Linked DNA regions of Drosophila melanogaster. The gene in region 1 interacts genetically with each later gene. Each region holds a gene or a part of one and is shown on either strand. Other genes may lie near its edges.

The links.
Region 2: of GstE8 (region 1) and Smox, changing one suppresses a phenotype caused by changing the other (phenotypic suppression), as found in Drosophila melanogaster (one study listed by BioGRID).

The regions. Positions count from the first base shown.
Region 1 is NT_033778.4:18,405,870-18,409,677, reverse strand, and holds GstE8 (glutathione S transferase E8), read right to left. Parts: upstream 1,845-3,808; 5' UTR 1,819-1,844; coding exon 1,150-1,818; 3' UTR 723-1,149; downstream 1-722. Other genes in the region: GstE9 (glutathione S transferase E9), read right to left, coding at 1-587; GstE7 (glutathione S transferase E7), read right to left, coding at 2,052-2,723; GstE6 (glutathione S transferase E6), read right to left, coding at 2,968-3,636.
Region 2 is NC_004354.4:8,136,409-8,144,103, forward strand, and holds Smox (smad on X), read right to left. Parts: upstream 5,872-7,695; 5' UTR 5,228-5,871; intron 4,510-5,227; 5' UTR 4,275-4,509; coding exon 2,814-4,274; 3' UTR 633-2,813; downstream 1-632. Other genes in the region: CG2120 (uncharacterized protein), read left to right, coding at 1-479; CG17982 (uncharacterized protein), read right to left, coding at 6,208-7,113; alpha-PheRS (Phenylalanyl-tRNA synthetase, alpha-subunit), read right to left, coding at 7,591-7,695.

The DNA.
Region 1 (3,808 bases):
GGCTGTGCGGCCATTCTGTCTAGCCAGCCGTTTAACTTGGGATAGCGCTTGGCATCGATAGCGGCCAATCCCACTAGGCTGGAGACCGAGGAAACTACACTGTAGTCGGCGATGGTTATGACCGGTCCGCAGAGGTAAGCCTGATTACCGATGAACGCTTCCAGAAAGTCATAGGCCTCGTAGATGGCATCAATCTGGGAACGCGGCACCTCAGTTATGTTCTTGTAGAACAACGGAATGGCTATGTTCCGGATGCAGCCCTGGAATAACACACCCGACTCAAAGTGCAGGCGCTGATCAACGAGTGCGCGTTTGAAGTAATCCTTGGGATACAGGTCATCACTCTTGGCATAGCGTCTAACCAGATAAGCGCAAATGGCGTGACTCTCCCAGATGAACTTGCCATCGTCCTCCAGCACGGGTACCGTGTGCTGCGGATTCTTCAGGCTGAACTCCTTCGTCTTGTGCTCACCGGCCAGCAGGTTCACCAGCCTATACTCATACTGAAGGCCCAGGGCGTCGAGGGTCAGTTTGCATGCTCGCACCGGCGGACTAGCCTCTACGCCGTACAGTACTAATTTTCCCATCGCTTCAGGTGTCCGCTCGCCTTGGCTGTTGACTTGAAACTAAACCAGCTCCGACTATCGCAATTATCGATCGGATGAACTTACAGCTCATTTTATTTCAATTTATATACGCTACTTGCGTATTCCATGCTGACTCACTCTTGTCGTTCGAGATAATTAGCGTTCCTTCTGATTGGCATAATATTTATTTGAATATGCCATTTTTAGAGGGATTCTGTGTTCTTGAAGACAAAACACCTATCTATTATCAGCATTTTCAGCAAAGCTATCTTTGCTTGTAGGATCGATTAGGTAATCTCCATGGACGAGTTCGACTGAGCCACTCCATGAGGTGTTAAGTGTTTTGGTTTGTCTTATCATATTTGTTTGAAATGTGATGGAAAATTCTTCCACTTGACCTGTTTAATTTGTCTTCTTACAACCGAATCAGGTGGCGATTTTTAAAACTGTCTATTATCATAAAATAAAAATCATAAGATAACAATATTTGAAGAATAGTCTTAATAATGTTTTATACAATTATTAAACATTATTATTACAATTATATACTAAGAATAAATTATTAAGTTGAGAAGGTAAAATTGAATTTCTTGAGGAGGGTCACCAAATCCCGGGCACCTTTGCCACATGCCTCCTCGTAATAGGGTAGTTCCTCAATCCTCTTGATCCACGCAGTTATATTGGCGTATTTTACTGTATCGATGACCACGAATACCGCCAGTGCGGTAATCGATGTGATTAGGCTAAAATCCGCGATGGTCAACTGATCACCGGCAATGAAATCGTGTCCGGTGAGAAAAGTCTCTACAAAGTCGTAAATCTCTATGACGGCATCGTAACGCTCCTTGGGAATCGTCGTCTGACCGGTCGCAAAGAGCGGCTTGGTGATGCCTCTCAGTCCGTTGACAAAGACCACGCCGGACTCGAAGTGCAATCGCTGGTCCACCACAGCGCGTTGGAGGAGATCTTTCGGATAAAGAGTATCACTCTGGCCATACTTGGACACCAGATATGCGCTGATTGCGTGTGAGTCCCAGATGAAATGGCCATCGTCCTCTAAAGTGGGCACCGTATGCTGGGGATTCTTCCGCAAGAACTCGGGCGAAAGGGTCTCCTTGGCCAGGGTGTTTATTTTGACGTATTCGTAGGGAATGCCAAGGGCGGCCAAGGTCAATTTGGCGGCCCGAACTGGAGGACTAGCCTCTGTCCCGTACAAAATCAGCTTGGACATGCCGTCTAGAGGTTGAGCCTAGTACTAAAAGTAGAAGCCAAAGAGGCGCCATATTTATTTGATTTGGAAAGAGAACGTTAAAGAGACACATTTTCGCAAGAGAGTTGACAAAAACCTGGCGAGGTGCTCTTTAGTATTTTTATATGTATATTTTCTATTTGTTTATTTTTTGTACTGTACGATTATTTTATTTATAAAGTGTTTAATATATATTAGCAGCATGTATAGATGATTTAATTCGATGCGAAAGTGAAATTATACTCTCTGATGAAGGACTCAAATGTACGAGCACCATTGCCGTTGGCCTCCTCGTAGTAGGGCAGCTTTTGGAGTCTCTTGAACCATGCAGCTATCCGAGGATATTTGGTCGTGTCCACCTTTACGAAGACCTCCAACGAGGACACAGTTGATATGATACTAAAGTCGGCAATCGTAAGCTGATTGCCGGCGACGTAGTCATTTCCAGCAAGGAATTTCTCCAGGAAGTCATAGACCTCAATAATCGCATCGTAACGCTCCTTGGGAATCATCGTTTGCTTACCGGCGAAAAGTGGCTTGGTAATGCTTCTCAGTGCATTAGCGAAGATCACTCCGGACTCGAAATGCAATCGCTGATCCACGACAGCACGCTGGAGGAGATCTTTCGGATAGAGACTGTCCGTTTTGCCGTATTTGGACACCAGATAGGCAATAATGGCATGTGAGTCCCAGATATAATGTCCATCGTCCTCCAACGTGGGCACCGTGTGCTGTGGATTCTTCTTCAGAAACTCCTCAGAGAAGTTTTCCTTGGCCCGAGTGTTTACCTCCACGAATTCGTAGGGAACCTCCAGGGCAGCCAAGGTCAATTTGACGGCACGAACTGGTGGACTTGCCTCCAAGCCGTACAGTATCAATTTGGGCATCTTGTCGCTGGGTAGAGTCTCGTCTATTACTAAACGTCAACAGCGAAGAGTCACTATATTTATAGAATTTCGAAAGAGAGTAATTAAGAGAAGCGAGAGCAGTAGATAAGAAAGTCAGTTAGGTTTTTGCTCTCGCCTCTTCTATTCATTTGTGTCCAAATCAATTATTTCACCACAAAAATTCAAAAGCTCTAGAGTTTTCTAAGCAATTATTTATTGTGACTATATAAACTGTAAAATAATATCATGCTTCGAATGTGAAATTGGTCTTCTTGAAAATGGCCACCAACTGGCGGACGCCCTTGCCATTGGCTTCCTCGTAGTATGGAAGCTGTTCCAGCTTTTTGATCCAAGCACCGATCCTGGGATACTTAGTCGTATCCAAGGCCACGAAGGCCTCAAGGGAGGCCACCGATGAAACGAGACTGAAATCCGCAATGGTCAGTTGATTGCCAGCAATGTAATCCTGTCCCTTGAGAAAAGTTTCCACAAAATCGTAGATCTCGATAATGGCATCGTATCGCTCCTTGGGTACTTTCGTCTGTCCCTGGAAGAGCACTGACTTCGATATGCTCCTTATGCCATTGGCAAAGACCACTCCGGATTCAAAGTGCAGCCGCTGATCCACAACAGCCCGCTTGAGAGGATCTTTCGGGTATAGGGCATCGGAATCGGCATATTTCGAGACCAAATAGGCAATAATGGCATGCGAATCCCAGATGTAGTGACCGTCATCCTCCAGGGTGGGCACCGTATGCTGTGGATTCTTCTCCAGATATTCCGGTGAAAGTTGGGCACGAGCCACAATGTCAACGTTTACATATTCGTAGGTTAGGTTTAGAGCGGCCAAAGTAAGCTTAACAGCGCGAACTGGGGGACTGGGGTCCAAACCGTATAAAGTCAATTTCACCATCTTGTCGCTGTGGGGTCTCTTTTCAAACTAACCCATAACTGCCGAATAACTAATATAATATACAAAACTTGGGATCAATGAAAGAGAAAATTTAAGAGAGATTCCGTGTACTTGAAAAAATCTCTATATTTACTGCACTTTACAAGTCAATAATAATATGTATGAATGTGAA
Region 2 (7,695 bases), on another chromosome or scaffold:
GTGATATCTGCGGCAAGGGTTTCCGGTATGCCAACTACCTAACTGTCCATCGACGCTTGCATACGGGAGAGAAACCATATCCATGTTTGGCCACCGACTGTCATCTCTCCTTTCATTCCATCCACGCGCGGCGCATTCACACAAAGCTAAGGCATGCGGCACAAACGGATCCGGATCCCGAACATCCGCTGGCGGAGCAAGAGCAACGGGATACATCTGCGCTCAGCTTCACCTGCCCGGTTTGCAGCCGGGTCCTAACGGATCAGTGCTATCTTAGCATCCACCTGAAGCGGCACTACAATCAGCGCGACTTCCCATGCCCACAGCCGGAGTGCGGCAAGAGATTCTTTAGTGCCTCGGAGCTGAAGCACCACCAGATTGCCCACACCCAGCAGCGACCATTTGCCTGTCCACTCTGTCCAGCACGATTTCTGCGCAAATCCAATCATAAGCAACACCTCAAGGTGCACGAGCGTTGACAGCTCGAGAGCACTTTGATTATGTTAGTATACGGTACGATTTCCCTGTCCATTCGAATCGAATTCCAGGCGAATCCGAGACTCGCCCCACCCTAAGCTGCCCCCCGGAAGGGGGCTTGGTCTGCGCTTTCCATTCAATATAAGTGTTTATTTATATATACGATTCTGTTTGTCTTTATCTGCATGCTTGCATATTAGATATATGTATATATTTGTATTTATACTTTATAAAGTTACGGGTACGGGGTTGCTGGTTCTCTGTGGTTGTGTCCTCGGAGGACTGTTGACTGTTGCTGTTGCATGTTCGCCTGCATTGCTTTGTTTCGTTTAGGCATAACTTAAGGATTACATTACATTATTTGCGGGCTTAGCCGGAAATACGAAAACAATTGTTTGATTAAAAACAGTGATTAGAGCCAATTAACAAAACACAATCTCGTTCGCGGTCGTTTATTCGATTGATTGACAATCAGGACTAAGTGTCTTAGCACTAAACTGCACACGTGAGAAACTTAAAAGCAACAAAGGGGGCAAACAATAGACAAAACTTAAATTAAAGTTTCGCCGGAACCAGAGGACAAGTGCGCTAGGCAACACTGCCCGCCACGCACCATTCACTGCCCAACACTGGCCAGGCGGTACAGTTATTTTTGGTCGTAACAGCGAAGCAATGGGCAAAAAAAAACAAAAGAATTAAAAGAATCAGCAAATATTGACGTAAAAACAATTTGAACTTGAACTTAAACTGGATTTGGGCTCTTTAAACGTTAAGATAAGCTAGCGAATTTTGTTACATATATAGACTTAAGATCTAGACCCAAGAAAAACGTGCACTTGCCAAGCAAAATCCGGCCAGCAACGGCAAACCATATTGCATATTGGTTGGTTAAGCTATCGTTTCAAATACGATGCTGTAAAAGAATCAAGAATCTCTCATTTGGTACACAATAAATGCAGTTCTGAACAAAATGGCACCTTAGATGGGCCAGACCTGGCTTGCGGCATTCAAATTTTGTTGGGCAAGTGCTTTACACATAGGATATATGATCGCATTTTACGGATATTACGACTAACAAGAGCTGACTGCGCTTTAAGAGTTTACGAATTTTTTAACACACACGTACTAAGCGAAAATCGAAACGTTTAACAACCATCTTCAAACGGATATATCTATAATCCCATACTCGATCAAGTGGAGGTCCTGCGTGAATAATTTCATTATTTTGGTCTTATGTACATTTGCAATGTATGGTAGTGTGTCTGTGTGTGTAAGCTTCAAGCTTGATAAATCCCAGTTCCTGTTTTGCTCATTCATTTTTGTTCCAAATCACCAATTTAATTGTTTTGCTTCTTTCTCAAAGAATTTTGACTCTCTCGCTTCTAGCGCTACCAACTTTACGCACACAGATTCGGGGTATCTTTTGGTTTTTTTGTGTTCCTGGTCGGTTCCATTTCGGTTATTTCCTCATGTGCTTTTGGTTTTCTTTTTTTTTTTTTTTTTTTGTATGTAAAATGTTTAAAAAAATTGTTGCTTCTTATCGAAAACTGTAACTCTCTCCACGTTTCCACCTACACAATATATAGTCCTAAACTTGTAACGCCAAATACATGTTCTCTCTCATATATGCTTGTAAAGATATATATCCCACATGTAAGTGTGTGCTCTTTGTATATAGATATATCTGCATCTGGTTTGCATCTACCATTTGTTTTTCAATTACTCATTTATGTACTCGTATATAATTTGCCTGAACTTATTTCATATGTGCTCTCAGAATTTTTCTTGGTTTTCTCTTTGAAACCAATTCCGATTCTCATTTTGATATCCCGCGGAGCTGCTGACTAGTAACACTGATGAATCTCGGGTCATATTCAACATGAATAGAGCTGTATATAGTATTTTTGGATGATGCGGAAGTTCTTGTTACATCAAGGATTCAAGTAGTTTTTTTCAACATCAATTTGTACAGCTTTCGGCAAGTGAAATGTACTTTTTCTAGAGCTAGTGACATAATTAAATTTTATACCCTGACAGAGGGTATTTAAACTACATCACTACAAAGCCGAACAAAAGCACATTGATTGCATACCAATTTCATCTTAATAACCATTGAAATTTCTCTCGAATGTGAATAAAAATCGATAATAAACGATATTGACTACCGCAAATTCTTGAGGATAGTATCCATTCATCGTCAGTGTTACTTGTCAGAGCCGTTTACTGGGATTTCTGTGGATCTTCTTTCAAACCCAAAAATGGGCCTTAAACTCCGGCGCTTTCTGTGCGGAAAATTGGGGGAGGGGGAAGATTGAAAACCGGAACCGGCCGTGCGCTTATGACATGGAGCTGCACGGCAGCCGTGGCGAACCCATCTGTGTGAGCACGCGATCCAGCCACTGGAGCGGCCCGTTCAGATGGAGTTCGATCCAGCAGGGCGTTGAGGTCACCGTCTGGCGGCGATATTCGGCGCCCCAGCCCTTGACGAACGACATGCGGATGGTGCACATGCGTGTCAATTGGTAGACCGCTTCGAATCCCTGCGACACGGACTGCGACAGCAGGGCGGCAAACTCCTGGTTGTTGAAGATCTTTAGGTTGCAACCGGGCGGTATCTTGCATACGGTGGCCGGATGCCAGCCATATCGCTGATTACAATTTGGGCTCTGTACGAAAATGGACGAATCGCTCAGACATTCTGCGAATACCTCACCGCCAATATAGTAAAGCCGTACGCCCTTGCCGATGTGGCGACGTGTCTGCTCCACGACCTCGTTGCGATTCACATTAGACAGCAGTCCGAGGCAAAAGCGCTCCGAATTGGAGGGATCGGTAAAGCCATCCACCGTGATCGAGGGCTGCGAGGCATGGAACGTCTCGCCGACACGCGTATTTAGCTCATAGTAGGAGATGGAACACCAAAAGGCCGGCTCGTGGTACATCACCGGCGCTGCATCGGCGGGCGGCGTTAGACGCGACATGTTCATGTTGTCGTTAGGATCGATGGGGTCACCATCCTCGCTCATATAGCCGGGCGGCGGGGTGCCGGTGTTGGGAATGCTGCTGCCCACACTAAGCACACTCGATTGAGAGTCCATGTTTTGGCCAAAGGACAGCTGCTGCTGTTGCTGTTGATAGGCGGAGGCGGCGGACGATGACGACGACGACGACGAGGAGGGACCACCACCACCACCGGCGGCAGTCGCTGGCGTCGAACTGGCAGACGATGATACGGAAACGGGCCCGGCACCGCCCAATTCCATGTACTGCGGCGGACTCAACGAGGCGCTGCGAATGATCGCCGCATTGTAATCGGTGTTGTTGGGTATCTGGTGCGTATGGTTGTCCAGCGGATAGTCCACAATGGAGTCGGGCGGCGTGGGCAGCGATTTGGGCACCAGGATGGACAGTTCAATTTTTTTGTAGTGGTACGGATTTATGCAGATCTCCTCCTTGCGCAAATGGAAGGCGTACTCGCAATGATCGAGGGGCTTTAGTTCATTCTGACTCTGGAGATCGGGCCAGCGCCACAGGCGGCAATAGATGACGTGCGGCAGACCCTTGCGCAGATGCTCGCCGGCGGGAGCTGGCTTGCTGCGCGGCACCGTCACGCACCGCGTCTGGCAGTTCTGTGTGGAGATCGCGCGCTCTAGCTCCTCCAGCTGCGAATTCTTCTTGATCTTCTTGACCAGATTCTTGACGGCCTTCTCTGACCACTTGCCCTCGACGCTGTTGTCCTCGTTGCCCTTTTTGAGTGCTAACAAACGCTTGACCACCTGCGGGGTGAATGGCAACATCTCAGGGTCTCAGGGGGGGGGAGTTCTCCTGGGCTTTCCTGGTGTCCTCCGCGTCCACTAGCTCCTCCTCCTCCAACTCTGCGTTGCCTTTTGAATACTGCTCTCACTGCTGGCGTTGGTCGAGTTTTAGTTTTAGTTTTATTTCGATCACCTTCTCTGGAATACTGGAACGGGACTGGGAAGTGGAACTGGAACAGTCCTAATGCTGCTGCTGCTTCCCTTGTGCACTTCTGATCTGGAATAGTGGAATGGGTTTAGTTGTGCGTGCTTTGGCAATTAAAACCTGATAATTGGCTTGCATGTGTGTGCGTGAGCGGCTGGATCTGATAAAAGCTCGACCCTGATGACGATGTTATTGTGATAATTGCCCGAGCGTGTGTATATGGGTAATCTATTAACTTTTGCCTTAGATTCACATTCAGATTTCTAAAGAAAGATTCAATTTAGATTTTCCATTTCCAAAACGACAATCGCAAATGCAATCGTCTGCGTGGGTTGTTGCTGTTCTTGCTATTTTCACTACCGTTGTTATTGCTATTCTTGTTGTTATTGTCTCCAACAAGGTCAAATGTCTGCGTTTGCAGACGCTTTTTTTTTGCTTTCGTTGAGTTACAGCAGCCACAGAAAACAGAAACAGAACCAGAATGTGTGTATATTTCTGTATGTATGTACACACGCCTAATCTGTGGGCAGTTTGGAATTTTCCATCTTATCGAAGGCGGGGCAATAAATTACCGAAAATAACAACAACAAAAAACATGAGCGTCGCCGGCAAGAGGGGTACGATCGAGTTAAACGCAAAAATAAATAAGTAATTAAATGTGCATTGGGGAAACAGCGAAAAGTGCACATACAGCCGCTTTGGAATGTATCCATGTATCTGTATCCGTATCTTCAACCCCCACCTAACACACACACACTTGCGCCGAGTGTCTCGCACATATAAATATTACCTGTAACGGTACCGGCAACTCGAGCTCCTCTGTCGTCCTGCTCTTGCTCCTTTCGCCTGCTCTTTCAACTTCTATCGTGCCCGCTCACTCGCACGCACACACTGCTTCCAGGTCCAGATGCACGGGAACGGTAACCAAAAGGCACCGGAACCGGGCGCACACATCCAGCCGAGCCGAGCCGAGCCGCGCCAACAGGAGGGGGTGGTGGTGGTGGTGCTGGTGGCGTTGATGGTTGTCTGGAACGGGGAGGGGGCCGTGTGGTGGGCACCGCTTCTTCAAATTTCTGTGTGTATATATCTTGTGTGCGCGCCAGAAAGTGACAGCTATACGCACACGCACACCAAAGCACAGGCACCGCACACCGACACGCAAGGAGCACACACACAGTTAAACGAGCGCACAGACACAAACACACAGAGGCACAACAAGAACAGAGAACTTATTTTGATAAATATTTAAACGCCTCCTTGTTGTTTGTTCTTATGTTATGCTCTTTGTGTTTATTTTCTATACGTTAGTAGTTCACTTTACGTTCGAATTGTGCTTTATGGGAGTAATATAATTTTTTGCGTTTCGCGATTTTGCTATTCGCAAAGTTGCAGTGTGCCCAGACTTGCTGCCCAACAATAGTGTGACCGACTGTGTAGTGTGACCGTTGGCTGAAACGCGAATAAGCTTCGACGCCACGGCTCAAAATAAAATAAGGCGTGAAAACATTCTAATGATCGTTTTGATAAATTCATATAAACAACATAAATATTGTTACATATTTTAATACTAAAATCATAAATATACTTGTTCGCAAATATATTTGCGCCACAAAAGAATGGGATTGGATGGCCAACTAATTAGTTACTAAATCGATGGGTGATATCAACTCCCTGCAAGAATCAAGTCAGACAGCTTTTATTTTTGAACGTAGTGGATTTTTTGTTTTTATTCACTTATTGGTAATTGTCAACTACCAGGATGAACTGGAGTCAAGTGCGGGAGAAGCGCCAGGACTTCTGCAGCGCCTGCTTGACGAGCTCATCCGGCGAGGGAGTATCAAAGCGGAATCTCTTCACCTGGATGCCGTAATCCTTATACTGGCACATTCGCAGGTGCTGCCGTTCCAGCGGAGTGACGGCGTACACTAGACGGGGCTTTCTCGGCTCCGGATAGCCCACCATTTCGTCCAGCATGAGCCCAATGGGTCCCGGTTGCTCCCGGTAGTCGCTATTCGCTGGTGACCGATCGGCCAGCACGTCCTCGTCGTAGTTGATGGATCTTTTGCTGGCCAAGAGAGTTACACCGGTCGTGCTCCTTCTTCCGCGATCGCAGGCAATGAAGGGTATGGCAAAAGGCTCACAATTGGTCAACTGGCGCGCCTTGCTGGCCAGCTCCTTGGGCGGTGCGCCTTTATGCCTGGCGATAATCGTGGACGTGAGGTCAATGAGTGGGGGTGCTGACGTGGCTGTATTCACCTTTGTCCCATCGCCTATATCCAGCTTCTTCATGCCGCTCTCCAACCTTGTCAGCAGGGGTATGTTCAGGGGCTCCTTGGGCATCGCGACCAGTTGGGGTAACACAAATCCCATTGATTGCGGCTTGTTTTCGCCCTCCGATCGCTGCCGTTGCCTCAACTGGATCTCATTGAGTAGCATTTGATTGTGTGCCTCCGCCTCTCGGCGGTATTCCTGCTCGGCAGCGGCATCCGCATTCGTCTGCAGCTGCAATTGTGGAATTCTAAGCTGTGGAATTTTGAGCTGCGGAATTGTGAATTTTGGCATCGCTTCTGGGCTCGTGCCACTTATACTGCTCAATTTGGACAAATCGCTGGTGGGCTGGAGACCAAACTCGGCCTGGATCGCCTGGTGGAGGGACTTCTTCGGATTGCTTGCCATTTTTCAAGGCCCAAACTCCAGCGACGATGACGAATTTGTTTATTTTTTTTTTTCTTTCTTCTTTTTTGCGTCTCTCCTTTGTTGTTTTCTTCGCTCGTTTGACGTTGTTTTGTGGCAAAGTTGTCAAATAGTTTCAACTGATTGACTGATTGTCAAACATGTTTTTATTATTCTCACATATTTTAGGATTCTCACTCTAAGCAGTTTCTTTAAAAATTTTCCGAATTTTATAAACCCGATATGCTTCCCTCAAACAATAACCTAAAATGCAGATAGCATAAATCGGCTGCACTTGACAACCCTGAACAACAGCTGTTTGGAGGGAAAATACAAAAATGGTTCGCCAAATGTTATATTTCCCTTATCAATATAGACCCAGTTTCTGTGGCGGAACTTTTATTTATAAATATGTTTTGGAACATTCATGTGTGAAAAAAAATGCAATTTGATCGCAGGTCCTATTGATTTTTTAAGGTATTAAGCATGATCCAGCCGGCAGATGGGGCCCTCCTCCACCATCTTTAGATCCACTTTGGGTCCGACCAAATCGCGAATGTTGTTGATGCCGTACTTGATCATGGT